Caenorhabditis elegans: one gene and its partners. The protein of the gene in region 1 purifies or fractionates together with the protein of each later gene. This does not show direct contact. Each region holds a gene or a part of one and is shown in the gene's direction. Other genes may lie near its edges.

Region 1 (6,400 bases):
TCTTCTAGAAAATAGAAAGATACAAAAAAAACTTACTTCATAAATTGCCTCAATCTTAGAATACATTCTGGAAATATCAATTCTTCCACTCAATTCTGACATTCGTCGTGTTAAATATGGAACAATTACTTCAACCATAAAATGACTAGTTATCAATTTTGGAGTATATCCCGCGTATGCAATATCCATTTGTTCTTGACCAGGTGAAGCGCCTAAATTGATTTTTTTTAAAACATTCTCTGTTAAGATTATTGTAAACCTCTTGAAAACCGGTGCGTCCATAAAACAGCTTCCAATGTAACTTTTAATTCGGGTCTCAATTTTTCAAAAATTCTGGCAACCCATAGAGGCATTTGATTGACAACATCATCTACTGAATCTTGTGCAATTGATCGAATCTCACTATCAAGAACATGAGCATCCAGTTGATCAACTCGAAGACAACGACAAGCCATTTTAAAATAATATAGAAATATGGAAACAAAAGAAAAAATTAGATAGAAAGAGGTATCAGAGAGAAACAGTACAGAGAAGGAATAGTGATAGTGGGGGAGGGTACAGTGTAGTGTATTATTGGGAAGAATGTTACGTTTTTGGTGGTACCTAAAGTGGTGAATCATTTTATATACAAAAAGAAAAGAGCATATTATATATAAAGCCTTAATTTAAATTTCAGAGAGCTTTTGAAATTTTTTCGGATTAAATAAGTGTTTTTGGCACTAAATTTTAATTAATAATACTGGATCAACATATCACAATAGCTTGTTTTGTAAAATCGCCGAAAATAATTTCATCCCTCAACTCAATTCAAAAAGTGAAGTGGGCAAAACTAAATTGTTCAAACAGCAGGTACTGGATGAGATTTCTTGAAATAGACGGTAGGCAGGCAGGCACGAACGAATGAAGGAGAAATGCACATAAAACGAAATAATTGAAGAAAACTAATTTATTTGTCGAAAATAAACCGAAGGCGAGTGTTCAATTGAGGAGTGTTGTAGTCGAGTACTGCCGTCACCATCAAAGTTCTGAAATTCAAAAATAATGAATTAATGACCCTGTTATGCATACCTTCAGTTGGTGTCTTCATCATCGAACCAGGAAGGGAGCGTGTTGCTTTCTCGTTAAACTTCTTGATCTTTGAAACGACTTCATGACCAGATGGGAGCTTTGTTTTGATCAGCCAGTTGGTTGCCATGTACAGTGATACATATTGGATGTATGAGTCAACGGACTGGGGGCGTTGCTCACGGATCGTGCGAACGATTTCGCTTATCTGAAAATAATGTTCAGTATTTATGAAAACTATAGGAAAAAGTATACCTTTGGCTCCTTTCCTCTAGTCAACTGATCCTCAACAACTGCCAACGTAAGAAGCGCAGCATTCCGTCCAGAACCATTCACAGAAGCAATGACAGTTGGTGAGTTTCCGTTCTCATTCTTAGCAATTTGATGGGCTGCGCGGATTTGTGCACCGAATCGATCAGGTCCAAACAAAGGCTTCCAGTATGTATGAAGATACACACTACACATGACAGCATTCGAGCAACCTTCTGGAAGAAGTTCAACGACAAACATGTCTGCTTTCGCATTTTCCTTCTTCTCAACTTTGCGGGTGTTGACGAAAAATCCGTTGGCATAGAGCCATGCTCCCGATTCCTGACAGAACAGCTTGTCGATTGCTGGGTTGGTGAGTTCTTCTGGTCTTGCAATAATATGCACCGTTTGGCATTGCTCATGGAACACGACACGCCAAAATTCCTCTACTGCATCGACTGAATCCATTTTCGGAAGTTGAACAAGATATATCGATGGAGTGAACTGAAAAATAAACGGTTTTAGGTACTTATTGCCTTCAAGTATCTAGACTCACGTGTGGCACATTTATCTTAGATCCATTGATATAATCGTCCTTGCACATCTGAACAATAATCCGGTTGTGATCGTAGCATTTGTAGTCGGTATGACGATTTCGACTGGAGTGCGATTGCCACATTTTGCATCGGTTTGGACAGGAAGCTTCTGTATCTCGTCGTACTCCTCCTTCAGATTGATTGAACCTAAGTTCTTTAAATTTGATGGAAGCATCTTCTCCTGACCATTTCTCCTTTTCTTTTTTCTTTGGCTTCTCCTTCTCCTTCTCTTCAGTCACAGTTCTATCGTATGCAGTGCTAATTGACAACATACTCTTCTTCACAGTAATCGGAACTGTAGTTTCAGTCGTTGAAGCCTTCTTATCAACTATGACTGATGCTTTACTCGGAACCTTCTTTGCAACGACATTCTTCGTTTTCCCTCCATGAACAACCGTCTTCTCTTCATATTTTGTTTTTCCTCCATGAACTGCAGTTTTCTCTTCATAACGAGATTCAGGCTCTCTTCTCTTGTTGTTGTTACTCGATTTTGATGTGCTAGGTGATTTTTTTCCGACACCATTTTTATTTCTGAAATTGGAAAATTTAAATGGTGAACTCTTAATCGGTCTAAAAAGAACTTACGGCATTTTTAAATCAAGCTGGCGATTTTCGCTACTTTTGGAAATTTAAAGAATAGGAATGACAGAATACAACGCGAAATGGCAAATATGGAGAGACGTGGATTTTTTTGAATAAAAAAATATTAGAAAAAAGGAACAAATGACAGTTTCACGTAATACACCTAATGAATTTCGATTAAAAATATTATATTTTTGAATGTTTATTTTATATGAATTCTAGTGCCTCTATATTTGCGCCTTCGCGCCTACCTGCCTTCAAGACAATCCGCTTTATAAATCGTGCGTGTCAAACTTCATGCGATACGAACAATGTTTAATTGAACTTGTGCAAATTCTGCGAACACTAAACTGGAGTTCATACTGAAATAGGCGCGTGCAGGCGATAGGTAGGAATTTATGTAGGCAGGCTCGAGGTGAAGTTTCCATAAATTCCTTTTTTAAGTATATATATGATCAGATCTTATGGCAATTGTCTTGTAGCTTAATTTCAAAGATTATTTTGTCATTTATGAGCTTATTTACAATTATTCATATCAATTTTTCGGGATTTTTTTGTTGAAAAATACAATTAAATAAAGGTGATCTCAGAAAAATTCAAAATGTCACAACTCGGCCGAACCAGCTTTAAAAGCAGATACATTTTTTGGAGTGATTATCCGTAACACTATTCTATCATACCCATTTCCAACTTTCCTTGTTAGGCTTTTAATATTCGGTATATTTTACTGGGCCCCCTGATTGCTCTGGCAATCAACCTTGACAAAAATTTTATATTGAATTTCAATATATTTCCTGTTGAAAAACTACGATTTTCAGAGCATTTTTTTTCGTCTATTCAGAGAAGTTTCTATGCAAATCTAAAGTAGAAAATGTACCAACTTATATTTGACAATCCTTCCCAACTAGGTGCATTATTATCTTCGAGAGGCCATCATCATAAAATTAGCTGTAAACATTGAGTACAACATCTCAAACACCACAAGACCATATACATTTTATCTCAATTGGCCTCTTCCCACAATTGTGGGAATAGGTCAAATTCTCTGCATCTCTTATAATTTCCCACTATCTCTGAATATGAAAATGGGCGGCGCATCAGGGTCCAGCGATAAGGAGTATAAATAGAGAGATGGTACAGTTCTCTTCATCATTCTTTCAGTAATAATGAAGTCGTTTGTTTTGTTTGCTCTCTTCTCAGTCGCTGCTGCTCAATTCGGAGGTTATGGTCGTGGAAGAGGTGGACCTGGTGGTCCAGGAGGATTCGAAGGTGGACCAGCCGGAGCTGGAGGATTCCAAGGAAACGGAGCCGGAGAGCTTACCTACGAGGCGAAAGGAAGGCTTATTTGTGGATTAACTGGAGTTGATAAGGTATGGATCTAGCCTAATATATTATCTTAATTATTTTAATTTTTAAAACATTCAGGTTCGCGTTGTTCTTTGGGATCGATTCCGTGGACGTGAGAACATTATCTACGATGAAACAAACACCGATGTTGTTGGAAACTTCCGTCTTCGTGCCACACGAAATGGATTCGATGGGAACCTTATTCAACCATTCCTCACGATCTATCACGATTGCGACGATGCTTCAACTCCAGGACTCCGCAAGATGACTGTTCAACTTCCACCACAGTACACCAATCAAGGATCACTCGCTTTGAAGTCGTTCGACATTGGAACTTGGAATTTGGAGACTTCATTTGCTGGAGAAGAACTCGAGATTCAGAATGGTGGACTTGGAGGACGTCCAATCGGTGGATCATCATTCGGACAAGGAAACAGAGGACAGTTTGGAGGAAATAGAGAAATCTTTGCTCACGGAGGACGTTCTGACTTTGGAGACTCATCCATCTCTGTATAATTCAATTAAAACTTGTAACTTTTGAAATTAATTATATGAATCTCAAACCTAATACTAAATATTCAGTATTTCACTATCTTTCTACTGTATATTATCCAACAATTTGTTCAGATTTCAATAGTATCCACTCTCAAATAATATTATTCCAAATATTTGAACAGACGAAAATCCTGCAATTTTATTTCTTGGAACTGAAAAGAATTAAACGAAAATATTTTATAAACTGTTAAACAAAGTTGATAATTAAATTTGGCAATCAAATACTGAATTTTAAAAAGTCCAAGCTTGGCCAAGAGAGATCAAAATTCCCGATTGTTATAGTCGGAAACGTTTTGGAAACCAGCCGATACGGATCTTCCGCCAAAGAATCTTCCATTCATCATAACGAAGGCTTTGATAGCTTGAGCATTGTTGGTGAATTCAACAAACACCCGAACTTGGCGATCCTCTTCTTGAGACTCATCCTGCAATTTTATGTCAATTATACAATGTTTTTTCATTCGAAAAAGAGCTTACCACATGAACAATCACATTCACAACTTGTCCACATTTTTCCATTTCTTCTTTTATCTCATCAGCAAATTCTTTTTTGCCTTCTTCACCCGAAACTTCCGATAAATCCGTCAGATTCCATAATTGAAGAATCTTCGTTGCATTTTGTACTGCTTCCATCGAATTAGTGGCGAACGTCGGAGCCTTTGGAGCTTCAGCAACAATATTTCCACCACGAACTCCAGTTTTCTCAATTGATAAAGCAGTACTCATTCCTTGTTCGGATTTTCCAAGTCCTGCACCTTCCTTATATCCATGTCTTTTCATAATATTTGCAGCAATTCCGAGTCCTCTGCTCGTAGCTTTACCAAAAGCAGGAAGAAATGAAGGTGGTGGCATAAATGAAGAATGTGGCTTCTCATCCTGGTTTTCATTTGTATTTTTAATCACTTCCGGTTCGGGTTCCATGAGCATTGTCGGTGGAGCAATAGCAGCTCCTTTCGATCGTTTTTTATCTTCTTCTTCATGTTCACGTTGTAACCGTTTCGCCACTTCTCTAGCAGTTTTTTCTCGTTGTTTCCTGTCATTTATCTCTTTTGCAACGACTTCATAGTTATTGGGTGTCATTGGATAATATTCACATTTGACATGCTCTTCTCCGAATAGCATAACACTTTCATCGGTGGCAGCTTTTGGAAGAAAACTGATATTGTCGGAAACTGGATTTGCACGAATAGGTTGGAAGGATTTCGATGTTACTGCAGTTGTAATCGTTCGATTTCGAGTCGAAAGATCGATGACTGGAGGTGGTGCCGATGATTTCACTAGTTTTTGTCTCTGAAAATATTTTTGTTTTTTAACTATTCCAATAAAAAATATTATTCAATATGCAGACTTTGTTACCCAGACCCAAAAATACGGAACCCGGTCTCGGCACGACAAATTTGAATTACAAAACAAAACGGTGTGCCCCTTTAAACAGTACTGTAATTTTTTTAATCGATTTTTCAATTTTTGTCATAATTTGTAAAAATTCATGAATTTTTATTGAAATTTTCGAGTTTTTGATATGATTTTTATTTAATTGTAAAACTAGACATTCCTATATATAACAATTGGTTAAAATTTCACAGCAACGAGTTTAAAGTTTTTTTTTGTTGCATTTTTCAAACTTTTGTCATGTCACGAACGGGTACTTTTACCGCAAAAATCGAAAAATTCGCGTCTGGGAATAGAAAACTATCTTTTTGTTCTTTTTGTTAATTTTTCTAATTTCAGTGCAAATATGATACTCACCGCTGCTTGTTGCTGCAACGCTGCTTTTCGTTGAGCCAGCTGAGATTGCATGAACGCCATCTGGATATTATGCATTGGTTTGGCTGAAAATTTATTTTAATAAGGTACACATTTTAACATCCTAAAATAAATGTTTTACCTTGTTTAGCTGCTGGCGGTCCTTGAGGAACATCGTCTTCATCATCATTGTACATTTTCTGTGATTTTTAGTTTTCAATATTTCATTTTTCTTTATTCATGCATACATGCATGCCAAT
Region 2 (8,257 bases), on another chromosome or scaffold:
GTGGAAGCTTACAAAAAATAAAAATTTTGCAGAGAAATGTCAAAGAAATTGAAGCCATTCGAAATTTTAGAGGATTCGTGTGCATCAGTATGTATTTGGCTTAACGGTGAACCTACGGCAATCAGCAATCGCGCTGAAAATTTATGGAATAAGGCCAAATATCGAGTTGCAACTGATGGAGCTGTTAATGAGATTCTTAAAAGGTGATCTAGGATCCAGAAATTGAAAATTATCGTAAACCGAGTTTTGGATTTCAGAAAGAGTTTCGTCGAATGGCCTCATATTATCTGCGGAGATTTCGATTCAATAAATAAACAGATTGATACAAAAAATGCAAAGTTAGTTTAAATTCTACTGAAATTAAAAATTAATATAGGCATTACTCAACTTCATTGTAATCGTGTTTCATGTTTGATAACATCTTCTATTAATGAGCAATGATAGAATTACTGTAGGGTTACTGTAGTGATCACAAAGAATTATTACTGTAGCGGCTGTTGAATATTAGCTAAAAGAATATATAGGCGTGAACGTTGAAAATAAAATTAAAATATTATTGAGTTGTGTTTTTAATACTGGAAGACTGAAAGCTACAATTCGTTGAGAAGAGTGTATTGACCAGGTCATAATAATGATTTTGCACTTTTTTTGGTATTTCTGGCTTGCCAACTAAATGTTATTCATTCTGTGTTCAGGACTAAAAAAATAAAAATATTTTGTCGAAAATTGTTCTTAATGTTGTTTTAGAGTCGTCCATCTGCCTGATCAAGACTACACAGATCTCTCGAAGAGCGTTCAGTGGTGCTTAGAGCAGAAAACACTAACAAGCTGGGAATTCGAGAATATCGTTGTTCTAGGAGGTCTCAATGGACGATTTGATCACACCATGTCAACGTTATCATCTTTAATAAGATTCGTTGATTCTCAAACTCCTGTGATCGTTTTGGATTCTAGAAATTTGGTTCTCGCTGTTCCTACAGTAATCCTTGGCAGGCCTATGTGAACATTAAGAGTTAAATTCAGGGGGATTCAAATCTTGATGTCAATCTTGAAATGACAACAAAAATGTGTGGAATCATTCCAATTGTTCAAAAGGAGACAATCGTCAGTTCAATTGGACTAAAATATGAAATGGGTATAATCCAATGTTTCAACATCATTTCTATTAAACGTTTCCATTTCAGAAAACCTTGCTCTTGAATTTGGAAAACTTATCAGCACGTCGAATGAAGTTACCACGAGCCAAGTATTTTTGAAATCTTCGTCGTCTCTGATTTTTTCAATTGAACTTGAAAATTGGGTCTACAAACTTGATTCTCTATAGTATCACATTTTATGGTCCCTCTTAATTCACAACTTTTCATTCCTTTGCTATTCAACTGTTCTATTTTCTTTTTATTCCATTTTTCCTAGTTTTCACCGGTACTATATAATTATCTACAATATTATAATACACTTTATTCCCTGTACCATTTTGTGTTGAAAACGAATTAATAAAAATAAAAACGAATTAATAGTATGAGATTAAAATTTTCATTTTAAAAGCAATGTTATTTGTTTAAAAAATATCCAATTCTAATGAATTATCTGCGAATATCCGATAGCGATTTCAAAAATCTAATGAAAATTGAAATTCAACTTTAAATCATTTGTAGATCAATTTTCTGATGCTTCTATCCACTTTCAAACGACATCTACCAATCAGGCGTCTCTTCTCATCAAATAAATTTGATCTGATTGTAATTGGAGCAGGATCTGGAGGACTTTCTTGTTCTAAAAGAGCAGCTGATCTTGGAGCAAACGTGGCATTAATTGATGCAGTTGAGCCAACTCCACATGGACATTCATGGGGAATCGGAGGAACTTGTGCAAATGTCGGATGCATTCCTAAAAAGTTAATGCACCAAGCAGCAATCGTCGGGAAAGAGGCAGGAATAATATTATAAATATTTAGAGCACTAAATTCAAAATTCCAGCTAAAACACGCAGACAAATATGGCTGGAATGGCATAGATCAAGAGAAAATCAAACATGATTGGAATGTGTTGTCAAAGAATGTGAATGATCGAGTAAAAGCAAACAATTGGATTTATAGAGTTCAATTAAATCAGAAGTATTTTTTTTAATTTTGTGGAAATTTTTATTTTTATGAAATTTAGAAAAATCAATTACTTCAATGCCTATGCCGAGTTTGTGGATAAAGACAAGATTGTGATAACTGGTACAGACAAAAATAAAACCAAGGTACGTTTGGAAAAATGAAAAAAGAAGTTTTAAAAAATTTGTTCCGTATACCCAAAAGTTTTGCGGCTTTTCGGAGGAGAATACGGTATCAGGTCTCGACACGACAATATAGTTTTCCGAAAAAACATAATTTATTCTAACAAGTTGTGATAAAATCTATAAAAATAATCTATAAAAATTCCGTAGCAACAAATGTTTGAGATGACAGTACTCGTTAAAGGCACAACTTTTCGCATTTGACAAAAATTTGTCGCGTCGAGACCTGGTACCGCATTTTTGGCGCAAACTTTAGGTAATAATAATATTGCTAGGAAACGGAAAATTAAAAAATTTCATCCTAGATTTTCAGAATTTTCTTTCCGCACCGAATGTAGTCATCTCAACAGGACTCCGTCCCAAATATCCAAATATTCCTGGTGCTGAACTTGGAATCACTTCAGACGATCTTTTTACACTGGCATCAGTTCCCGGAAAAACTTTGATTGTTGGTGGAGGATATGTTGCATTGGAATGTGCTGGATTTCTTTCTGCATTCAATCAAAATGTTGAAGTTCTTGTGAGATCAATTCCTTTGAAGGGTTTTGATAGAGATTGTGTGCATTTTGTCATGGAGCATCTGAAAACAACTGGAGTGAAAGTTAAGGAACACGTGGAAGTAGAACGTGTAGAAGCAGTTGGCAGTAAGAAGAAGGTTACATTCACTGGAAATGGTGGTGTTGAAGAATATGATACAGTTATTTGGGCGGCTGGTAGAGTTCCAAATTTGAAAAGTTTGAATTTGGATAATGCTGGAGTGAGGACTGATAAGAGATCTGGGAAGATTCTAGCAGATGAATTTGATAGAGCTTCCTGTAATGGTGTATATGCCGTTGGAGATATTGTTCAGGTACGATAAAAAAAGTAACATTTTTTTAAAATAAAAATGATAGTATTCAGGATCGCCAAGAGCTCACGCCACTTGCTATTCAATCCGGAAAACTTCTAGCTGATCGTCTTTTTTCAAATTCCAAACAAATAGTTCGATTCGATGGAGTTGCCACTACAGTATTCACGCCTCTTGAACTCTCAACCGTCGGGTTAACTGAGGAAGAAGCCATTCAGAAACATGGAGAAGATTCGATCGAAGTGTTTCATTCTCATTTTACTCCGTTTGAGTATGTTGTGCCACAGAATAAGGATAGCGGTTTTTGTTATGTGAAAGCCGTGTGTACAAGAGATGAATCGCAGAAAATTCTTGGTCTTCATTTTGTTGGACCAAATGCCGCAGAAGTAATTCAAGGTAATTGATTCAAAAAGAGAAATAGTCCGCCCCGCCCGTCACGAAAATGTTTTCTGAACACCTTCAATTTTGGAACAATGTTCGAAAAACCATAATCTGTTCGCAAAAACTTACGTGCTAAATCTGTTATTTTGAATTTTTTATCTTTTTCTTTATTGAATGAATAATATTACACATACGCAAAATTCTGCTATTTTTGCGCCAAAAATACGGCTTGATACGACAATTTTTAATGCAAAGAAAGTGTGCACCTTTAAATAATACTGAAAATTTAAACTTTCGCTGCTGTAGAATTTTTATCGATTTTTTAAAGATTTAATCACAACTTGAGACAATTAATAAATTTTTATCAAAAAGCTTTAAAAATCTACAAAATTTCTGCAGAATCGAGAGTCTGAAACTACAGTATTCTTTACAGGCGCGAAAAAATTTTATCGTGTCAAGTTCAGGTACCGTACTTTTGGCAATCAACTCACAATATTCTGCGGGTAGGTAATACTAACAACCTCGATAATCGATCAAGATACGAAAACTTTAAAAGCTAACCGATTGCACTAAATTATTTCAGGCTACGCAGTAGCATTCCGTGTTGGAATTTCAATGTCTGATCTTCAAAACACAATTGCCATTCATCCATGTTCTTCTGAAGAGTTCGTGAAGCTTCACATTACAAAACGATCTGGACAAGACCCAAGAACTCAGGGATGCTGTGGATAATTCAAAAAGTTTATTGACAAATCATTCAGTTTATTTATCAAAGTTAATTTACATCCTATTATCCTGGATACTAGTAATTATAATTAAACATAATAAATAGTACAAAATATTTGATTATCCTTTTTAAAAGATACCGGGAACTACATATTCTTAATGCGCATCGTGCTCATGGATGGGATCACATGTCTGACGAAGTGTCGAAATACGAGTTCCAGAAGTTGTTAGAATAGATATCACAGATGTTGTTGAACTCCATTTCTTCATTGGCTTCGAAACATTCTTCTTATGGAACTGGTGCTTCCGAAGCTCAGCCTTATAACGATCATCAAACATGATTACATAATTATCTGGCTCACAGAGTTGTACTCTTTGTTCCTTCTCTAATCCCCGCGTGAAAGCGTAAAAGTTTTTATAACCTCCTTCCAACAAATAAATCTCCTCATAATCACATCTCGGATAGATATTTGAATTCAGTTTTCTGTCCACTTCCCGAAGGTTGTTCGCCATGGTTGGTCCACGTTTTTGACTGTATTCACAGTAGAAAATGGGTATCCGGTTGATTTTCTTGGAACCATCTTTGTTGAAGAAGAAGTCTGCAGCAGTTTCTGGATTGAACAGGCTTTGAGCTCCCTGAAAAGATTTGCAGTTTTAACTTTCTGGTATTTTTTCAAAACAGTTATTATAATTCTTTTTTCTGAAACGCACACTTAAAGGCGCATGATTTGGTTTGGAAGGGTCTTGCCACGAAGGAAAGTAGATTTTTTATTAATTCTAAAATTAAATGTGTTTTCTGTTTTTGACAGAACCCATTAGAACGGACTCATGATTCTTTAAGTACGAGTTTTAAGAAGTACAGTATCCCATTCTCATATGGCATTTTCTCTCGAAAGAGTCTATTTATTGAAAAACTAAAATGATACACGGACACGAAGAGAGAATATAAATTACGAGGGTTACTGTAAACTTAAAGGTACACACTAAGACTTTGGAGTCTGGAAACGTAGTACAAACGGCAAAAACTAACCTTAATATGCCCTCCATTATATTCATAATCATATCGGCAATCAATTAGAATATATTTCTGCATAAACTCAATTTGCGATAGCTTCTGCATGATTTCAATTAACGTTTCAGAAGTGATTTTTTGGTATACGGTAGAACAGCTAGGCGTCACGGTTTCCAAATGATAATCCACTTGAAGATGGGCATTCCATGTCTCAATTTCCGAAGTTGAATGGCTCTTTTTTGAGAAAGTTAGTCTTTTCTTTATCACAATTTCAGAAGTATTCGCAGAATCCGTTCCAGATGTATATCCTCCATCAATGCTTCGTTTCCGAGTGGGTGGCGATGAGTTGGAGATGTGGCTGATCGCAGAAGAGTGTTGACGGTTTTGTCTGTAAATTATGGATTTATTGATATCGAACACAAATAATCAACTAACCTTGGGAATAGCTTCGAGGATCCTTCAGCACATTCAGAACATTTCAGCCGGAGCCCGTCATTGCGAACAATGCAGTTTTCACATGGAACGTCAACGCACATCAGGAGACTTGGAGCTAGACTGAACTAGGTATACCTGAATGAAAGAATGCAATAGAATGGATTTGAAGACTAAATGAAAAAAGAGAGACTGACTAGTCTAGTTTAATATGAATTGGAATGGGATCAGTAGAAAACCCTAATGAACACTCAATAAAATAAAACATTATTTTAGCGCGCAATGATCATGGACCCTCCCCTTTTATATGGTCCCCCTCGAGATCGATATAACCTATATAAAATGGGGCGGGCCGTTCTCCTGGGAAGACAATTGATCTCGCAATTGTGTGCCAAGGTGTCGTGTTAGTGTGGCGATGTGCACCTATTTCCGGGAGTGAGAATTTGACCTACGATTGTTTTCACCTTTAGAGCGGGAATTAGACAAAGAGAATATGAGTAGATTCGACTGGGAAGTTTTGATTCTGGGAAGAAACGGTGAGAATTGTCTCTAATTGTATTTAACTTTGAACAATTTTAAATAAAATTTTTGGTATAAGGTGTAGAATATGGCTTGTGGGCAAAACAATTGAAAATCATTAATTTGATGGATACCATAATAATTTTTAAAAAATTGGAAAAGAAAAAATTGGAAAAAGAAAATTTCCACCTATAAAAGGAAACGAAACCGGCTTCCAGGTTCTTGACTGACTCTTAACATATCTAGATCAGAAAGAACCATTGGTATTTCAAGAGTGAAATTTTTTATAACCATTCCTTTGGTGAAAAATACATTCTATGAAACTATTGAAAGCTCCTAAATTTTTGATAAACTTTTAAAATCAAAATCACTTCAACAAGGTGTTCGTTCTTCCAACAGCTTTCTACGTTTATTGTACAAAATACACTTTCATAAAAACGAATAGTCAAACTTTCAATTAGTATTTTTCAATCAATGTCGACTTGATAAATTGACAAAAATCAAAATGCCGAGTTATTTTTTGAGAAACTTAAATCTTCTGTTGTCAAATTATACGCGACAAACTATTAAAATAACAGTAGTGATACTAGTTTAGGGTATTTCATATTTGGCTACAGTATTCTACAGTGTTCCTACTGGGATAACGGAACCTAAGGTTCTTAGAAATTAATGTCAAATATGCGGGTAATCCAGCAAAATTTCCATTTTTCACTGTCTCATTAATATTTTGTAAAGTTTTATTTGGATGGTTCAGGCACCATTTGGCCCATGTAAAGGGGTGCTTCTTTTTTGAAAACTATTTTCCAACTGTCGCTACTCTACTTCTAAAACAGTTTTTATATTATTCTTCGAGTCATTTGAATTTCGAATCACTGTTTAATACAATTGAAAATAAGATTTATTCAAACTACCTACAGAACAAAAAAATCAATAGAGCAACAATGATTTTGAAGATTAGAGAACACTTTTACAATTTTCCCACATTTACAACTAACTCTTTTCCGGTATACAGCTCTGTACATTCTCATCCAGATATAGATTTAAGATGTCTAAGGTGTAGTGTAGTCTTCTCATATTTTCTCCCATCTCCACACTCGTCTCATTGTGGGTATACTCTCTTTCTTTTCAGTCTTTCTTCTTTTATTAATTCAGAAGATGCGAGCCCATTACCAACCACCTGCGAATCAAAAACTGGCAGTGGTTATTCTGGATTTTGGCACTCTGCCAAATCGGGATCCCGTTGTGCAGTGCATATTTGAATGTTATTGCGAATAATCATTGGGATTTTCCATGAATAATCCTTAGTTCTTGTTTTTGCGACTTTGACGGTCTGTAAATTGATAAACAACAATAATGGCAGTAGTTTTCGAGTGGCAGACGAAGTGGAGAAAATAGTAAATTGGGGTTGTGTGAGGATGGAAACTCAAAAATCAAAATATTTTGACATTTATTACTGAAAATTAATCATTATATTTTTTTGGAAATTTTTATATTTTTTGTAAATTCTCTCAAAACGAACAAGAAAATCGGCCTTTTCCAAAAAGTTTCTAGAATATTCTAAGTTTTTAAAAGCTTTAAAAGTCTTTCTTCAGACCCAAATATTCCAGACATTATCACTTTTTGGACATTTCGCAAAAATTTTAACTCAAATAATTAATACTTCATAAATGGAAAGTTTATTGAACATTTAAACGTGTAGCCTAATTTTTTAAAAGTTGAATGAAAAAAAATCAAAACAACAATTCAAAACCAGAAATCAATTATTCCTTACCTTTCAAAATTCGAAGCAAGCGAAAAGGATGGAATGCGTGAATTGCGATTGTACAGTCAAAACGATGGACAATTTGGATCAAGCGATTCGGGCACTGCTGCAACGTGGCAAACACGTGAATCGAATGATGGACAACGAGAAGCTGATTAGAGAGGCTCGACGTATGGAGGACGTCCAGCAGTTGAAGGTATGAAAATTAATGGGACCTTTCTCTGGTAAATCGGTTCTGATCGACGAAGAAGATAGTACAATCGACGTTGGTACACCCAGCTTTGGTATACTTCGATGT
Region 3 (10,767 bases), on another chromosome or scaffold:
CTGTTGCCAAAGGGCGCCCATTTGGTCGTCAAGTGTTGATGAGACGAAGAAAAATGATGACGATGTGCTATGTTTGGCCACCTTTCTCATCAAGCCTTTTGTTCCAGAAATGTACTTTTACAATCATTCACTTTTTGAAATTACTTTTTCTGGAGATTTTTGGAGAGCTAGGAAATTTGAACTCTCAAAACTTTACATTATGTAATTAAGGAATTTGTTTGTTTTTTAAAAAGATATTGTGAGTCGTTTTGATACGCCGAGACTGGGGGCGCTTCTCCTCGCCTCTTCACTCGCCCAACTCGCGCCCGAACTTTTAACTCATGTGAACCTTGTGTTGTATTGTGTTCATATTTTATTTGCATAAAAATCAGTAACGTGAAATTAAAATTAAATAATGCGGTTCAAGAATCTAAAAAAAAACACGAACGTATTAACTGACTTAGGATTGAGATCATCCTCGGTTTTGTTAATTTCATTTGCTCCGATTTTCATGAGATTTGTTGCATGACGTATTCATGCAGCTATTTTCTTGTTTTTCCCTTCAAACTGCTAATTTTTTTTTAAATTCAATCAGAAATTTTTGCAATAGGTTCGCTATTTTTGAATCGGAATTTTTGTCCCTTTTCAAAATTAATTGTGTATTTTTCTTTTTCTTTTTTTTTGATAGATACAAATTTTCAAATAGTAGTTTTCTAGTTTGCGGGCATATATTTTCCAAAATCAGAAGCTTGTAGGAACTTGTATGATTCATGATTTGTTGTGACCTTGGTCTATAATTCATGAATAATATTATTATTATTTTGTTCTTGTTCTGCCATAATAATCACATTTCCCAAACACTTGATTTTTCAAAATCCTTTTTTGTGCTCAATCGTAATTACTGATCCTGCTTTTTCACTCATTTCTCTAATCTTTATATTTCATTTCTCCAAAAAATGTGTCTGAGTCTCTACTATAAACCATTAATCTCTCACTATTCTTTTTCTTTTCGTTTCTCTCTTCAATGCCATTGAAGCGGGGAAAAACCGACGACGACACACACCACACACACACAAACAACACATTGCATAGGCTATATCAAAAAATTATTAAAAATGTTCTTTTTTTTTTGATTCTTATAAAATATTTGTGATTCTTTCCCATGTAAAATTCCGTTTGAACTTAATTAGTGTTATCTAAAATGGTCTCTGATCTTTGATAGTGTCTCTTCAAAAAGAGGGTTGTACGGCAAATGTTCTCTTTTCGATATGGTTGTTTTAGATAAAAAATTAATATAATGTAGAATAATATTTAGTCAATTTGAACACAATTCTTGTTTTGATTGAATTTTTTTAAAAGTATCTAAAGACTGAAAGTTAGTCACTGCTGAAAAAATGGGTCAAAGTTTTGGCAAGTTTCGGTAGTTGGGCTCTATTTCAAACAAAATTTAGGATTATTTCCAGAGAGTTTTCGAATTTTTCAAATTGCTTTTGCTTTCATAAGTTTGCTTATTGCAGAGAAATCAGCAATTTTGTAGATTTTCCGCACACCCTAAATATCAGGTTCGACAAATTTTAAATGTTCTATTTTCAGCAACACGTTTGGATCAATTCTTCATCTCTCATTTGAACAAAAAATTTATTTTTCATCCTAAAATCTAATTTCAACAAAATAACTATCGTTTTTTTCCTTCCAGATGAATTACTAATTTCACTCTAGTTTTTGCAGAATTTTTGCACTTTCAGTTAATTCATTCATATTAAATTGATCTCTATAATTGCAAATGTCATTTTCTAATCATAATCCCATTAATTTCTGAAACTTGATTACGTAGAATGCATAAACTTTAAGTTGGCAGTCCAAATACACATGCAAATGTAAATTCGACCCTTTCTCGCCCATCTGCATTTTTCATTTGAGGTCATTTTACTTTTGTGACCAACTTTGTGTTCTCTGTGGTCTTTTACTCTTTTTTCGTGATGATAATTATAGTTATAGCAAAAAAAACAATTATTGTGACAAGCTGTGTCCAACGTTTTTCATAAATGTTCCTATAACTTTTGCTCCTGGGGTTCGGAAAGTAATCAAATATTTTTAAATATGATTTGTGTGTGAACTCTAGAAAACTTTTAAATTATGCTGTCAGATGCAGAATTTTCATTGACTAGCAAAAACACAAGTCGAATGCAAACTTGATTTTAACTCTAAAAAATAGTATGAAGAATTTTTTCTATTCACTTTTCCATCGTGGGTGCAAAACGGCAAAACAACCAAGATGTGGGCGGAACCATTACACCCTTTTAAAAAATAAAACTAATTTTGGTGAATATTTTAAAATAGATTCGAAAATATTTTGAAAAATACAAAACATTAAAAGATAAATGTATTACTTTTCTGAAAAAATTCCGATGAAAACAACTAATGAACTTGTTTTCATTTTGAGCTTTTCAGTTTCAAGTATTAAGATTTGAAATTCCTAGTTTTAATTTCTGGCCAGTGAACTTTTCTTTCATATTTCGTTTGATGTTTAGTGTATCACTGGTTTTTTTGCAAAATGTTTATTTCTAATTGATTTGAGTTTCTTTAAAAGCAGAAGTGATTAATTTAGGTTATTTTAAAAGCTTCAAGATATTTATTCTTAATATTTATCGCTAGAAACTAAATTTATACAGGCCCCATCATTCCTCTCGTTAATATTTTGTTGATTAGCTTGGTTAGTTTTCTCTTCGTTAGACGAATTCCCCAAATCTAGGTACCTAGAAGCAGTAGAAGTGTTGTTTTGATATTTCCTGTTTATATCTTCCATTTCTCTTACTTCTCACTCTTCTCATTCCTCTAACTTCTGCTTGTTGTGTTCTTGTGTTCCATTTGATTCTGCTCTTGCTCACCGGAGCCACGGCAGCAAATGCAACAAAAGAAAGGAAGAAAAAACGAAGCACACACGCAAAACACATGGCATATTTTCACTTTTGCATCGTTGTCTCTTTCTCTTTCCTTCTTCATCTTCCTTCTTCTTGCTTATGGCTCATGACACCACACCACTTGTGCTCTCTTGGCAGGAAAGCCTGAGCTCACAACTTCTTCAAGTTTTCAGAATATTGTTGGATGGAGAGAAAAGGGAAAGGGGATTTCTGAAAATGATCGGAGGTGAATAGAGTTGGTCAACAAATCTTTCTTTCTCTAGAAGACTTTTCATTTTGTTTTTTATTCTGTTTGCTATGTTGTCCTCTTTTTTGTGCTGTGCTTCTTCTTTTTCTTCCTCTCCTTCTTGTTCTCAACCTTCCAAGCGGTAATGGATTTCTCGTTTTCATTTCCTTTTCTGCAAGATTCATGTGATAATTTCTGTTTTTCCATGTCTCTTTTTTTCGCAGTCTTCATTCCAAATTTTGTATAATCTTCTGATTTCTTTTATTAAAGCCTAAGATCTCAAAACTTAAAACTCAAGATCTTCCTAATGACTTTGTCTTGTGAAATTCTATTATTTGTCATCATTCTCTTGATACTCAGTTATTAGAACTCTTATAGTTAGCCAATTTGTGAGTCATCCTCTAAACATGAATAAATTTGAAAATATTGTCATAATTTCGAAGTTTTCATGGATTTATTTAGATTAATCTTTTAAAGATTGAAAATATTTTGACAAGCTCCTTTAAGTTCGAATTTCAGAAGAATGCAAAATTACTTTTTTTTTGGAAAATTAAACAACTACTAGATTTAGTTTTGAAAACTAATATGTAAATTATTAGATCTGCAAAAATTGAGTTTGTTTTTTCAATATTTTGTTTTCACTCTATTCTCTTCTGCTCAGTCGATTTCACTTATAACCTTGTTATGCCTACGTGCATATTTGCAAAACCTCATTTCGTGCAATTTTTATTTTTCAGGTGATTAAACCCGAAGAACACAAAAAATAGGCAGAAGGCATACATATATAGAAAAAATGGAAGATATATTGATGCCTGAAGGAGAGAAAGTTTCCATGGAGAACTTTGCTCTCCTCAGAGTTCTTGGAAAAGGAGCATATGGAAAAGTATTCCTTGTGCGAAAAGTTGGTGGAAAGGATCATAATACTATATATGCTATGAAAGTGTTGAGAAAGACCAGAGTGAGTTATTTTTGGAAAAGAAATGAATTTAAAAATAATAATTTCTCATTTATACGGTGCTGAACCTTTGTATTATTATTTGTTTTTTCATCTCTCGCCAAGAGCGAAAAAACCGACAATTGCCGGAATTCATATTCTTGAAATGGTTTTGAACTTTTCGAAACAAATAACTGGATTGAAAAATTTTTGAGAGATGGGAAAGTGAGGTGAAATAAAGTTTATAGATTAGTATTTTAATATGAAACGAAAAAAAAACAAATTTGATTGCAGGTGCTCACAAAACAAAAAACCCTGGAGCACACAATGGCAGAGCGTCAAGTACTTGAACGTCTACGTGGAACACCATTTCTTGTCAATTTGTTCTATGCTTTCCAAACTGATACCAAATTGCACATTGTAATGGAATATGTGAGAGGAGGAGAATTATTCACACATCTTTGCTCGAGAGGTCATTTTGATTTAGAAGCTGCTAGATTTGTAATTGCTGAACTTGTGGTTGCAATTGATAGTCTTCATCAAAGAAAAGTTATTTATCGAGATTTGAAGCTTGAGAATATTTTATTGGACGAAGAAGGACACGTTAAGTTGACAGATTTTGGATTAAGTAAATTGTTTCTACCCGGAGAGTTGGATAGAGCCAATTCATATTGTGGAACTATTGAATATATGTGAGTTTTGAAATTTCCAGCCAAAGTTTAGGCACACTGCCAAACGTATTTGGAATTAAAAAAAAAAAGAACTTATCAAACCTCAGAATTATTTGCATGTCAATAATTTAAACATGATTAGAATATACAATTCGTAGTTTTTGATGTAGTTCCAAAATTAGGATTAACAAAAACTGGGTAATTGCTACTTTTTGGTTGTATATTAAAAGGTATCATTTTTTGTTGAAAATTATTGATCATTGATATTTGATTATTGAGCTATTGAATTTTTTCATTGAGATTTTCATATAATTCTTTACAAACGAAAATTGGCACAGACGGCTGTGTAAAAGTAATTTCTGAATAGATAAGAAATAAATTCTCAAGTTTAATGATTCCAGGTCGCCAGAAGTAATCAATCGCCCTGAAGGAGGATACAGTGATGTTGTCGATTGGTGGTCTTTGGGTGTAATTTCATTTGAATTGCTCACTGGATGCTCACCATTTACTGTAGATGGAGCACAAAACTCTAGTAAAGATATTGCCAAGTAAATCATTTCCTCATTTTCTTTATAATTTCTTCGAGTTTTAGACGAATTATGACAAAGAAGGTCCCTTTCCCAAAAACTATGGATGTTGATGCTCGCGATTTCATCGGCCAATTGTTGGAAAAGAAACTTGAAAAACGTCTCGGATACAATGGAGTTGATGAAATTAAAAATCATAAATTTATGTCAAGTATTGACTGGGATGCAGCTGTTAAGCGTACATTGAAGCCAGTGATTGTTCCAAGAATTGGACATGATTTGGATACACAGTTCTTCTCAGCTGAATTCACTTCTCAGCCACCATTATATTCTCCTGCAGAGTCACCATTAAATGCTAATACTCTGTTTAGAGTGAGTTTTTTCTTAACTTGGCAGGCACCGATTGCCGGATTTTGAGCCGAATTCCGAAATATGTTTGACAAAAATAAATTTCCAGAAGAAATTATGTGATTACAGGGATACTCATATGTCTCCCCATCTGTTATATTTGCCAATGACAATGTTATCGGTGAAGAACTAATGGCTGAAGATGTCAATGCACTTCTCGCGAGTTCTTCATTTTTTGCCAAGTACAAACTAGACAAGTCGGACGCTGGTCTTTTAGGAAAAGGAGCTTTTTCGGTGGTCAGGTAAATTTTTATATTTTCATCAACATTTCATGTGCTGGAACTATTTTCTAGATTCGAAAATCTCGAAAAAGTTCAACAAAACGTTATTTTTACATAGTTTTAAAGATAAAATATACAAATTCAGACGATGCGAACGCGTAGTTGACGGAGCCCAGTTTGCAGTCAAAATCGTATCACAAAAGTTCGCAAGTCAGGCTCAACGTGAAGCACGAATTCTTGAAATGGTTCAAGGACATCCGAATATTGTTCAACTTCATGATGTACATTCGGATCCTCTTCATTTTTATCTCGTCATGGAGATTCTGACTGGAAATGAGCTGCTCGAGAGAATTCGAAAATTGGAACGATTTACAGAGGTTAGAATTCTTTTAAGCATTTCTTTAATTCGGAGTTACTCTGAAAATTAAATTTTTAGAGTGAAGCAGCAGACATCATGCGGCAGTTGGTATCAGCTGTGAAATATCTTCATGATAAAAGAATTGTTCATCGAGATTTGAAACCAGAGGTGAGTTTCAATGATCAGATTATGTTAAGTGGCTGCAAAATAATACAAAACATAAGAATAAAATACTTCCAAAAAGTGAAACAAATTAATAATTAAAGGTGGAGTATACTCGAGTAGTTAGAAAATTATGACGCAATTTTTAAAAAAACGGGCACAGTTATTCTTATTCCAGAATATTCTATTTGAAAGTATCGATTCAAGTGCCCGCCTTCGTCTAGTCGATTTTGGATTTGCACGTCTACTTCCAAATTCAATGGAACAACAACTGAAGTCTGTTCAAGTTCTGCGCAAGATGTACGGTCTCATCGCACACAATCATTCACTCCACTCGGAGTAACATTTAGTCTAGTCAAAAGTTATTGTGTTTTGTCTTTTTTCACTCATTATTGGGCATATTTTTGTTTTTTTTTCTTAACTGGGAGCATGTGTCTCAAGCTGAAAATTTAAAAGAACAAATGTTCGAAAAAAGTTACTTTTGGTAGAGAGGAAGACGGTGGTGTGTGATGTTTCGTGCATTCTTGTTACAGATTATCTTCTTTTTCTATCCTTTTAAACCTTTCTTTTCACTTATCTCTACTAAGGGTTTCTTTCTTGATTTCAGAGATTTTTGAAGAAACACACTCATTCTCTGACTCTCACTTGATTTTCAAGACAAAGCTGTTTACTAACAATTCACAAACACTCACATTAAGTTTCTCAAATTTTCTGTAAACTTGAGAGTTAGAGAATGCCCAATTCATCTTTGAATAACGTTTGTTTTCACTAATAGCTTCTATATATTTGCCTAACTCTCACTATGAAATTCTTCAATCATAATTACAGGACCCCCTGCTTCACACTACAGTATGCTGCTCCAGAAGTTTTAGATGTTGGAGATTCTCAACCAGAATACAACGAACAATGTGATTTATGGTCACTTGGAGTTGTACTGGTTAGTTGTATAATTTTGTAATAATTTAATGTTTCAAAAATCGAAGTAAAAATTTTGAGAAAAAACAAAAAGACCCCTCAAATTTAAGAAACGATTGATAATCGATAAAAATCACGAAATGGAAGCATGCAACTACAGTACCACATCGTGAAAAATTTTTTGGACGCATTGAGAACCCTGGTTATTAGAAATTCATAAGAAATATTTTAAATTGTGTGGCACATTTTCTACGAATAAATTTTTCAGTTCACAATGCTATCGGGTCAAGTTCCATTCCATGCACGTTCTCGTCAAGAATCGGCAACTGAAATAATGCAGAGAATTTGTAGAGCAGAATTCTCATTCACAGGAGACGCATGGACAAACGTGTCAGCAGATGCTAAGAATTTAATAACCGGTCTTCTTACTGTGGATCCAAAGAAACGTCTTTCAATGCAAGAGCTTACAGCTCATATGTGGCTCAAGTCTTCGGCTTCAATGGATACACCACTTCAAACTCCTAGTATTCTGCCATCATCAGCAGGTAGTTAAACTGATGTTATTGAAAATTGAATAACCTAATCTTTTGACTTTTCAGATGAAACATTCAATGAGACACTGCGCGCATTCCTCCACGCTAATCGTGATGGATTCCATCTTCTCGATGTTGCTGCTGCTCCTCTCATGAAACGACGCGGAATCAAAAGACAATCTGGGGACAAGGATGCTTCTGGAAACTCGAAAAAGTGAGTTCAAGAACCCTAATATTTGAAACTCCTCCAATTTGGGGTACGGTTTCAAAGTGCACAAGAAACACCACATTTGACGACATTTCTCTAAAATTTTATTTTTTAGTTTTTAAGTTTGCAAATAATTGTAAATTCCTTATTTTATACTATTTAGAACGTCTATTCAAATATTATATTTATGAAATTATTAATAATAATTATTTTCTAAAAAAATATGATACTTCTAATTTTGATCGCATTGTGAACATTTTCGTTTCTGAAAATATACTTTCATTTTCAACAATTTATGTCATTTTCCAGTTCGCGAGTTACCCAATTCGAGTGTCTTCCGGAAGAACAAGAAGCAGAGATGACATCATCAACATCCCGTCCAAGCAATTTGGGAATGATGAACTATCGAGAACCAAATTCTGGAACAATCCGAGAAACTCGTGGCTCAGACTCCTCCTAGACCTTTTTCTTTGTTTCTTTTAATTTTTCTTCCTTTCTGTTCCTGTTTCTCTCACTGTTTGCGTTGTGATTCTTTCGTCCTAGATGCTTTCTAGTCTGTACTCTCTCATTATTCTCACTATTTTACAAATTTTCCGTCACCTGACACTTGTGGCATTGCCTTCTCTATGAGTACAGTTGCTGAAATGTTCATTGAACCTGTAGTGATTGTCATTTGTTAGATATTTCGCATTTCTAGTCAATCCTCTACCAATTTTGAAAAATATTGTGATTCGTGCATTTCATTTTATGTTATTATATCTAGTCTCATGTAAATTTCTAATTTTTTATAATCATTTTGTTAGATACACATATCTTTATTCATCCACCTATCCCCATGTAATCTTTTCATTGTCTCCAGTGACTCCCTGAACTCTTGAACCATTTCCAGAAATTCTTCCATGTTTTGCGATGAGCATGATTGACTTGCCAATCGACTTTTTGAAAGATTAATAAAATTAAGTAATTCGTTTTACATATTTATTTTGGAGAAGGTTTGAAAGCTCCGAATCATAATATCGATTGAAGCATCAACGTGAAAACCTGATGTAATGTGAGAAAATAAAATATGGAAGTGAAAGCATTTTAGAGAATATTTTTAGCGATAAGAGCTTGGTGAAGACGGTGAAGTGGCAAACCAACCACATTCGGCATACATCCTTCGATTCCACGAACGAAGACAGCGCCAAAGTCACCGATTCCATATGAACCTGCTTTTTTCCTGAAATTTCGATTTACTAGGTCAGTTATTCGTGTTTTTTTATTGGAGTTTTCAAATGTCGTGATGAAAATGATGAAAAACGTGATGAAAATTTTAAAAATCCCTCAAGTTTTGCAGCTCTTTCAAATACTCATAAAATGTTCAAAATTTCTTGACCGCCAATTTTTCTTTCATTTTTATGACTTTAGATAAGAAATTCAATTCCAAAAATTTTGATAACTTTCAATCAATAAATATTTCCATAACTTTTTTTTGCTAAAAAAAACTAACAATGGCTCTCCGCTTTTTACATATTCGTCGATAACTCTATCAGGAATATCTCCAAAATGAACAATTGTTTTCTCGATGATCTCTTCATATTGATCAGTTTCATGATAGTGTAGAGCCATTCCAGTATATACATTATGAGTATTGTTACGAAGTCTGAAATTAATTTATACAATTATGATGTTGAAAATTTAATTACCTTTTCAAAGTTTCTTTAGCGTCATTGGCATCTGTTGGTTTTCCAATAATTTCTCCATTGAATTCGATTACTGTATCACACGCAATAATAACAGAGTACGGCTCCTTAATAATTCATATATTAATATAATATCTCAGTTTTTATAATTTCAATTTTAGATTTTAAAAATATGGTAGCAGGTCTCGATATGCTGCAGCACTCTGAAATTTTGCGCAAAAAGTTTTAGGTCGCGTCGAGAAATGTTGCCGTATTTTTTTTGTTGAATTCCGATTTGTTTTTCAACTAATAACTATATTCTCAAGTTACTGAAAAAATAACTATACCTCTTTTCTTTTCATTTCTTCCACAATAGTCGTCAATTTTCCTTTAGCTGTTTCAATGACAAACTGCTTAACTGGCAATGTTTTTGGTAGATTTTCCTCGAAATTTGAAACTTTTACGATTACATTTTCCAATCCCTGAAACCGAAATAAATCTTTCTTTTTGTAGATTCTCATTTTCTCACAATTTGCTGCAACAATTTGAGTCGATTTGGTGACTGACTTGCCAATACAATAATGGCTTCTTTCATTCCGAACTTGCCGTCGTGGGCGAAACACGTGGATCTGAAATTTCGATCGGCTCTTGTGCTCAGTCAATTATTCACAAAAAGTTGGGGACATCCGGATGTAATTAAACAGTACGTTTTGTTTTAATTGAGAAATTGAGAAACTAATAGATAATTAATTATTGTTATTATTATTTTAGAATGGCAAAATATCGCAGAGATGTCATGTCAAAGAGGCTTGTGATGGATTATGTGAAAGAACTTAATCCCAAAATCGACATTGTGAAGGTAAATTTTAATTTCTCAAAAACATTTTTCAATAATAAATAATTCTCAGAAATATTCAAAAAATGGCGTAACTTCATACGAGGGATTTTTCGCAAGTCCTCATGCCACTCTCTTTCCCAATCATATGCCAGGAAACGTCGGTCGAGCACATTTCAGAGCATATCTTCCTCAGAAACCAGGCCCC
Region 4 (6,722 bases), on another chromosome or scaffold:
CAAATATTACGTTCTATTTTTGACTATTTAACATTTCAGCTGATTCCGAGAGAGCAACAAGGATCCTTCACGACAAGCAAAAAGACGGAGCCTCTTACTTTCTTCCCAGGAGACTTGACAAATTGGCCAGCCGGTTAGTTTATGATTTACATGGGCGAGCCACATAAAAATCGTTTTCAGCTCTTCTCGCTGCGGCAATCAAGTTGGACAACGACCAGGTGGACGTTACTCGCCTTCCAAGTGTGGTCAATATGCTGTTCAAGCATCATATCAAAGTCAGATTGTAGGTTTCTTGTTATTTACTTTAAAAAGCCAGCGAATAGAATTTTTCTTTAACTTGAAAAACTATGTTTTCACAAATGTCTTTTTGCAGCGATCATGCCCGTGGTTTGTATCGAACAAAACACGACGGCCAGAATCCACCAAAAATTGTGCTGCCAAAGCGTCCCATCATCGATTGCACACAATTCTACAAGAGCAGCGAGGATATCGATGAGGAGCAAGTTCCATCAACTTCGAACTTTCAATCATCTTCGAACTCTCTATCAACTTCGAAATCTGCTGGAAGGGAAAATATCCCAGACTCCCCATAAATTCACTAGTTCTCCTGTTTTCTGATACTTTCGAAACTTGTTTTTTTGTTTTTTTTTCCATTTTTCGTTAAATGTTTTTTTTCTGTTGTTTTTTCATTTTGTTTCATTTTCATAATAAATCGTGTTATTTTTTATGGTTTTATAAAAGTTTAATCCAATATGAAAGCAAAACTAGCTAGCAAGAAAGCATAACTACGTAGCAAAACATCACCGCTAATCAGCGGAAAAGCACAATTACTGCGGTTGACTAAGCCGTGACATAAATGCTAATTAGCAGTGATTTTCTATCGCTCTGCCGTGACTCCAGTCTATCTGAGGGGTACTGTAGGGGTACTGTAAGGGTACTGTAGTTTAGGAAAAATTGACTTTTCGTGTTTAGGAAGAATATTGGCTTGGGGTTAGACTGTCGCAGTACTGTAGAGGTAGTGTAGGATTACTGTAGTCTTGGAATATCTGACTTTTCGTTTTTTGAGAGGATATTGGTTTGGATTTAGTGGGGTTAGATGGTCGCAGTACTGTAAGGGTACTGTAGGATTACTATAGTTTAGAAAAAATTCACTGAAGTTTAAAGGAAAAGTCGTGGTGAGACCTATCATGGCTAAAGCCATTCGTTTTGGCGGGAATTCAAATTTTCTGACTATGAGAAAAAATTTTGGCAAGAAATTCAATTTCTGAGAAAATAAAACTTTCTAGAAAAATTTTGAAAATTGTGGAATTAATATAATAAAAATTTTAAAACGTTAACCTTTTTCAGCCATTCATTTCTTAAAACAAAATCACTCCGAAAAACGTTGATCTGGCTCTTGATTCCTGTTATCTACGGTTTCCTCTGGGCAGTCAATTTATATTGTACACTATGGGTCAACACGGATACTGAACAGATATTACAGGGGTGAGTAAAATGAAATGCTTGTTGTACTCTGTTGAACTTCTCAGGAATGGGTATTTACGCGAGAATAAGTTAAACATATCCGACGTAACATATATTGGGCCCAACTATTGGAAACTTGATGAAAATAGAAATGAAGTTATAAATTGGAGAACAATGTTGGGAATGTCTATTGCATCGACACTGATCTCGATTTCCTTCGCAATGATTGTCATTTTTGCAACTTTAAGCTACAAAGAGGTCTCCAAGCTAACCGAGCTGACTTCCCACTCCGAAAAATTCCGTTCAATTCAACTGCAACTTTTAAATTCTTTGGTGTTGCAATCACTTGTCCCGGCGTTTTTCATACAGTTGCCATCGTTCGTCCTATTTCTGGCGCCTTTTTTTCATTGTGGAAGGCCAGTGTTTGGCGAGATAATTGGTGTGACGGTTGCTCTATACCCAGTCTTGGACTCACTTCCAACAATTTTAGTGATCAAGGCTTTCCGTGAAGCAATATTTCGTGAGTAAAAGTTGCCAGCCAAATAAGTTGAGTGTATTTTCCAGATTGTTGCCCATTCACTAATAAAAATGCTACACTTCCCACATCCGTAGCACTGGTTACTATTCAATAATAATACATTCAATTTAAATGATAGAAAATGGACTGTATAACTTAATCGAAACTTGTTTTTACACTTTGCAAGAATCTGATTATTTTAAAATTTTTGTAGATCACAACGATATGGGACATTATGACACCACGAGAGAAATGTCTGAAAATTTACACACATCAAAGTATATACAATAAATCGGTCATTACGGCTCATTTTCTATCTTTTAAAGTAAACATTTTGCGTCAAGAATACGGTAGCCGGTCTCGACACGACAAGCCTTTGTCAAATGAGAAAAGGTGTGCGCCTTTAAAGAGTACTGTAATTTCGAGCTTTTGTTGGTACGGAACTTTTATCGATTTTTTTTTAGAATTTACGTGTTTTTATTTGTTTTATTCAAGTCTTTTTATTAAATAATAACAGTTGAGACGAAAATATGAAAACTCGATGAAAATTCCACAACAACAAGAGTTTGACGCTACAGTAATCTTTAAAGGAGCACACCCGATTACATTAAACAAAAATAGTCGCGTCCAGACCTGGTACCATATTTTTGACCAAAAATATTCATTATTCCGCGAATTAATGATAACAAAAGTCAGAATTTTGTTTAGTTTCGGGAAAATTCGGAGCAAAATTCAGAAAAATTCAAAATTTGACTCGATGCTCGTTATTTTCCGGAGTATCTGTATTTTTATCGTGAAATCCAGTTCACATTGGGTATTCCGGGCGCCTTTACTTTTCTTTTTTAAATTTCCTAATCAATTTCTATATTTTTATGTATAAAAATCGATCTAAAACGAAACGGGTATTATTTAAAATTCAAGCGTCTCCCGCCAAGCGATTATTTTCTCTGCGTCTCTCTCCTTCGCACACTCTCTGCCTCGCTCGCTCAATAGAGCGCGTTTGCCATTGGCAAATTTTCTCGAAGAATTCCTCATTTTCTCGATTCATTTCCTTCTTTTCATCGTTTCTGCTCACTTTTATCTCATTTTTTTTTCAGATTTTTTCAATATTTCGGCAAAAATGACGGACGCCGTAAGTTTTTCAACAATTAATCAATAAAATTCAACTAAAATTCCCTATTTTCAGGCGATTGCTGAAAAAGATCTCGGAAATGCTGCCTACAAGCAAAAGGACTTTGAAAAAGCTCATGTTCACTACGACAAAGCGATCGAGCTTGATCCTAGTAATATTACCTTCTACAACAACAAAGCCGGTAGGTTTTTATTTAAAAAAAACTGTAGATTTTCCCTAATTTTCCGAATTTCAGCCGTCTATTTCGAGGAGAAAAAATTCGCGGAATGTGTGCAATTCTGCGAGAAAGCCGTCGAAGTTGGACGCGAGACCCGTGCCGATTACAAGCTTATCGCCAAGGCCATGTCTCGTGCCGGAAACGCTTTCCAGAAGCAGAATGACTTGAGTTTAGCCGTCCAATGGTTCCACCGCTCGCTCTCCGAGTTCAGAGACCCCGAGCTTGTCAAGAAAGTCAAGGAGCTCGAGAAGCAGTTGAAGGCGGCCGAGCGTCTTGCCTATATCAATCCAGAGCTTGCCCAGGAGGAGAAGAACAAGGGAAACGAGTATTTCAAGAAGGGCGACTATCCGACAGCGATGAGGCACTACAACGAAGCGGTGAAGCGTGATCCGGAGAACGCGATTTTGTACTCAAACCGGGCCGCGTGTCTGACGAAATTGATGGAATTCCAGAGAGCTCTTGATGATTGTGACACTTGTATTCGGCTGGACTCGAAATTTAGTACGATTTTCTAATTTTTTTGCTCAGAATTAACTAAAAATTGTATTATTTCAGTCAAGGGATACATCCGCAAAGCCGCTTGCCTCGTCGCAATGCGTGAGTGGTCGAAGGCTCAGCGAGCCTACGAAGATGCTCTCCAAGTCGACCCATCCAACGAAGAAGCCCGTGAAGGTGTGCGTAACTGTCTGCGAAGCAACGACGAGGATCCCGAGAAGGCCAAGGAGAGAAGTCTCGCCGATCCAGAAGTTCAGGAGATTCTCCGCGACCCAGGAATGCGTATGATTCTCGAGCAGATGAGCAACGACCCGGGAGCCGTGCGAGAGCACTTGAAGAATCCGGAGATCTTTCAGAAACTCATGAAGCTCCGCGACGCTGGAGTCATTCAGATGCGCTAATTATTTGATTGCTCCCGGTTTTTCACCCATTATTTGATTTTTATTTGAATTTTTCTCCCCCCCCCCCCCCCCATGGTCTGTGTTTTTTGCATCTCGCTCGTCCTCTGGACTCGTCTTCAAAATATAAAAATATATTTATCGTCGTCGCAACTAAAAGACAAACAAAATCTCATTAATTTCAGACATTTTTTTGTACTTCGCACTACAAAATTGTTCATTCGACTGGAAGCTGAACCAAAAAATTCGTCGAAAACAAAAAAGTCACAACTTCCTTCCCTTATGTCTTCTTTGGTGACGTCGGTAGCGATTTCAGCGATTTTTTTCACCGAAATCAACGTTTTTCTGAATTTCTACCTGCTTTCTCAAATATTTATACGAAAGAAAATCCAGAAAAAGCCAGAATTATCACTGATTTATTGCCGTTTTCTAATCGACGTGATTTATTCTTTCGATAGTGAGTTATTTTTAAGCGGAATCTAGGAAATTTCTCCAAATTTGCCCGATTCTGCTCGAAATCGCGAGTTTCTTTCCCCAAAACCATTTTCAAACGCGCGCCAGGGACATTCTCATTGGAGCGCGCCGCGTGTGTCGATTTACGAGAGTTCGCATTTTTCTCGAGTTTTTTGCGGAAAAAATCGAAATTTCAATGTTTGAAGCGAGAAAAAGTGATGAAAAAAAAGGAAATTCATTGAAAAAATCGGAAATCTGAAAAATAAAATTTTCTTATAACCTGAAACATGGTAAAATCTTAATGTAAGTGTTCAAATTATCAGTCATACGTAAAAAACGGAAAAATTATCGGCAATTTGCCGGTTTGTCGGAAATTTCGAATCCGGCAATTTGCCGATTTACCCGAAATTTCGATTCCGGCAATTTGCCGGTTTGCCGGAAAATTCAATTTTAGCAATCTGCCGATTTGCCGGAAATTTTCAATTCCGGCAATTTGCCGGTTTGCCGGAAATTTAAATTTCGCCAATTTGCCGATTTGCCGGAAATTTCAATTTCGGCAATTTGCCGATTTGCCGGAAATCTTCAATTCCGGCAATGTTCACGTCACATATTTCTGGCGAAAAAGTTCCCGCATTTATTGTAGATCACACCGAAATGGGACAGCCTGGCACCGGGATTCCCAGTCAGGGGTTGGCGGCAAACAACTTTTCCGGCAAACCGGCGAATTGCCGGAATTGAAAATTTCCGGTAAATCGGCCAATTGCTGGAATCGAATTTTCCGGTAAATCGGCCAATTGCCGGAATTGAAGATTTCCGGCAAACCGGCAAATTTCCGAAATTGAAGATTTCCGGCAAATCGGCAAACCGGCAAACTGCCGGAGTTGAAATTTCCGGCAAATTGGCAACAAACAAGAATTAAAAAAAAACAATTTCAGCATCAATATTTTTGATTTATTCCCTGATAAAAACGCTTTTTCCCGAGTTTTCTGTGAAAAACCTGGCATATTTCGTCGCTTGGCCCGGCTTCAACTTGGGAACTATTCGCTGCTGGATTGTATTTTTTATAACATCCGATAGAATTTTCGCAACATGCGCTCCGATTTCATATCACAATCATCGATTCAAAATTCCGCTCGCCGTGATTATCATCCTCATCTCCGCGTACACAATTCTCGAGCAATATATTTTATTCGGATATTGCGATTTTGTTCTAGACGTTCCCGCCGATTGTGCCATTTTCCGGTGTGCAATTAATATTTGCTATCACGAGTATTGGAAAACTTTTTCGCAGGTTTCAATTTGCAGTGGTGGTGCCGCACAGAAAAAGAGGCGGACACGTGGTGTCAGGCTGTCTCATTGCGGTTTGATCTACAAAAAATGCGGGAATTTTTTTCCTAGAAAAATTGTGACGTCAGCACGTTCTTAACCATACGAAATCAGTTGAGAACACTACGTATCATTCTCCCGCATTTTTTGTAGATCAAAGCGAAATGGGACTTTCTGTTTAGACGTGGGCGGAGCGGCGTTTTGCAAACTTTTTGGAGAAAACTAGAATTTGTTGCTTTTCAGGGAAAATCATATTTTCTTGCCGCAGGTTTGCAAAACGACGCTCCGCCTCTTTTTCTGTGCGGCACTGCAAAATCAGCAGCTTGATCGTTTCGTTTTAGACGATGTATTTTTGCATTGGAACGTTGACATTTATTTTATTTTTTCGACTTTTCATATGGAATCATTTTATACTACGTTCCACTAATACAGCTATTTCAAGAGTGAGTTGCACGGTCTCGACACGATAAAAAATTTTTGAAATAAAGAAATTTGTCGTGTCGAGACCGATAAAAAATTTTGAAATTATTCAATTTAGGCCACAAAAATCACGCTTCTCGACTCCTTCATCATATTTTCATTTGATCTATTCCCGGTTTTTCTCACAGCCCGATTCCCGGACATCAATTCTCGAACTGTCGGGCCGTTGAGTGCTTTATTGAAGCACATGGGCTTTGTCATTGAGTCACTGATTATCTGCAAAGTTTTGAGGAATAGCAA

The links.
Region 2: the proteins of ttr-50 (region 1) and trxr-2 fractionate together in Caenorhabditis elegans (co-fractionation; one large-scale study listed by BioGRID). This does not show direct contact.
Region 3: the proteins of ttr-50 (region 1) and rskn-2 fractionate together in Caenorhabditis elegans (co-fractionation; one large-scale study listed by BioGRID). This does not show direct contact.
Region 4: the proteins of ttr-50 (region 1) and sti-1 fractionate together in Caenorhabditis elegans (co-fractionation; one large-scale study listed by BioGRID). This does not show direct contact.

The regions. Positions count from the first base shown.
Region 1 is NC_003282.8:11,638,256-11,644,655, reverse strand, and holds ttr-50 (Transthyretin-like family protein), read left to right. Parts: upstream 1-3,640; 5' UTR 3,641-3,658; coding exon 3,659-3,862; intron 3,863-3,917; coding exon 3,918-4,355; 3' UTR 4,356-4,609; downstream 4,610-6,400. Other genes in the region: prx-2 (RING-type E3 ubiquitin transferase (cysteine targeting)), read right to left, coding at 37-212, 260-455; ZK809.1 (Tyrosine-protein phosphatase domain-containing protein), read right to left, coding at 1,018-1,025, 1,069-1,273, 1,321-1,818, 1,871-2,441, 2,496-2,500; rbm-17 (Splicing factor 45), read right to left, coding at 4,655-4,819, 4,872-5,684, 6,144-6,226, 6,283-6,337.
Region 2 is NC_003281.10:8,912,114-8,920,370, forward strand, and holds trxr-2 (putative glutathione reductase 2), read left to right. Parts: upstream 1-1,655; 5' UTR 1,656-1,667; coding exon 1,668-1,928; intron 1,929-1,976; coding exon 1,977-2,113; intron 2,114-2,159; coding exon 2,160-2,244; intron 2,245-2,593; coding exon 2,594-3,130; intron 3,131-3,180; coding exon 3,181-3,523; intron 3,524-4,091; coding exon 4,092-4,240; 3' UTR 4,241-4,346; downstream 4,347-8,257. Other genes in the region: tpk-1 (thiamine pyrophosphokinase 1), read left to right, coding at 37-203, 258-338, 748-979, 1,024-1,135, 1,185-1,324; M-phase inducer phosphatase cdc-25.3, read right to left, coding at 4,391-4,870, 5,265-5,634, 5,682-5,782; ZK637.15 (uncharacterized protein), read left to right, coding at 7,997-8,155.
Region 3 is NC_003279.8:8,010,549-8,021,315, forward strand, and holds rskn-2 (Ribosomal protein S6 kinase), read left to right. Parts: upstream 1-3,861; 5' UTR 3,862-3,919; coding exon 3,920-4,084; intron 4,085-4,354; coding exon 4,355-4,752; intron 4,753-5,132; coding exon 5,133-5,279; intron 5,280-5,323; coding exon 5,324-5,630; intron 5,631-5,735; coding exon 5,736-5,908; intron 5,909-6,032; coding exon 6,033-6,264; intron 6,265-6,323; coding exon 6,324-6,413; intron 6,414-6,585; coding exon 6,586-6,707; intron 6,708-7,235; coding exon 7,236-7,344; intron 7,345-7,590; coding exon 7,591-7,870; intron 7,871-7,921; coding exon 7,922-8,069; intron 8,070-8,372; coding exon 8,373-8,523; 3' UTR 8,524-9,032; downstream 9,033-10,767. Other genes in the region: dod-18 (Nucleotide PPase), read right to left, coding at 9,147-9,282, 9,553-9,705, 9,749-9,852, 10,072-10,206, 10,254-10,319; C54G4.7 (AB hydrolase-1 domain-containing protein), read left to right, coding at 10,306-10,427, 10,496-10,583, 10,633-10,767. UniProt on the Caenorhabditis elegans protein: Serine/threonine kinase that may play a role in mediating the mitogen- and stress-induced effects on transcription. May repress transcription via phosphorylation of 'Ser-1' of histone H2A. May phosphorylate histone H3.
Region 4 is NC_003283.11:770,490-777,211, forward strand, and holds sti-1 (Stress-induced-phosphoprotein 1), read left to right. Parts: upstream 1-3,028; 5' UTR 3,029-3,101; coding exon 3,102-3,113; intron 3,114-3,167; coding exon 3,168-3,294; intron 3,295-3,348; coding exon 3,349-3,831; intron 3,832-3,885; coding exon 3,886-4,226; 3' UTR 4,227-4,286; downstream 4,287-6,722. Other genes in the region: str-238 (Seven TM Receptor), read left to right, coding at 1,348-1,485, 1,530-1,984, 2,029-2,096; srbc-58 (Serpentine Receptor, class BC (Class B-like)), read left to right, coding at 4,506-4,680, 5,612-5,967, 6,344-6,445, 6,541-6,722. UniProt on the Caenorhabditis elegans protein: Plays a role in gonad development. Up-regulates longevity and thermotolerance. Binds daf-21/hsp90 and inhibits its ATPase activity.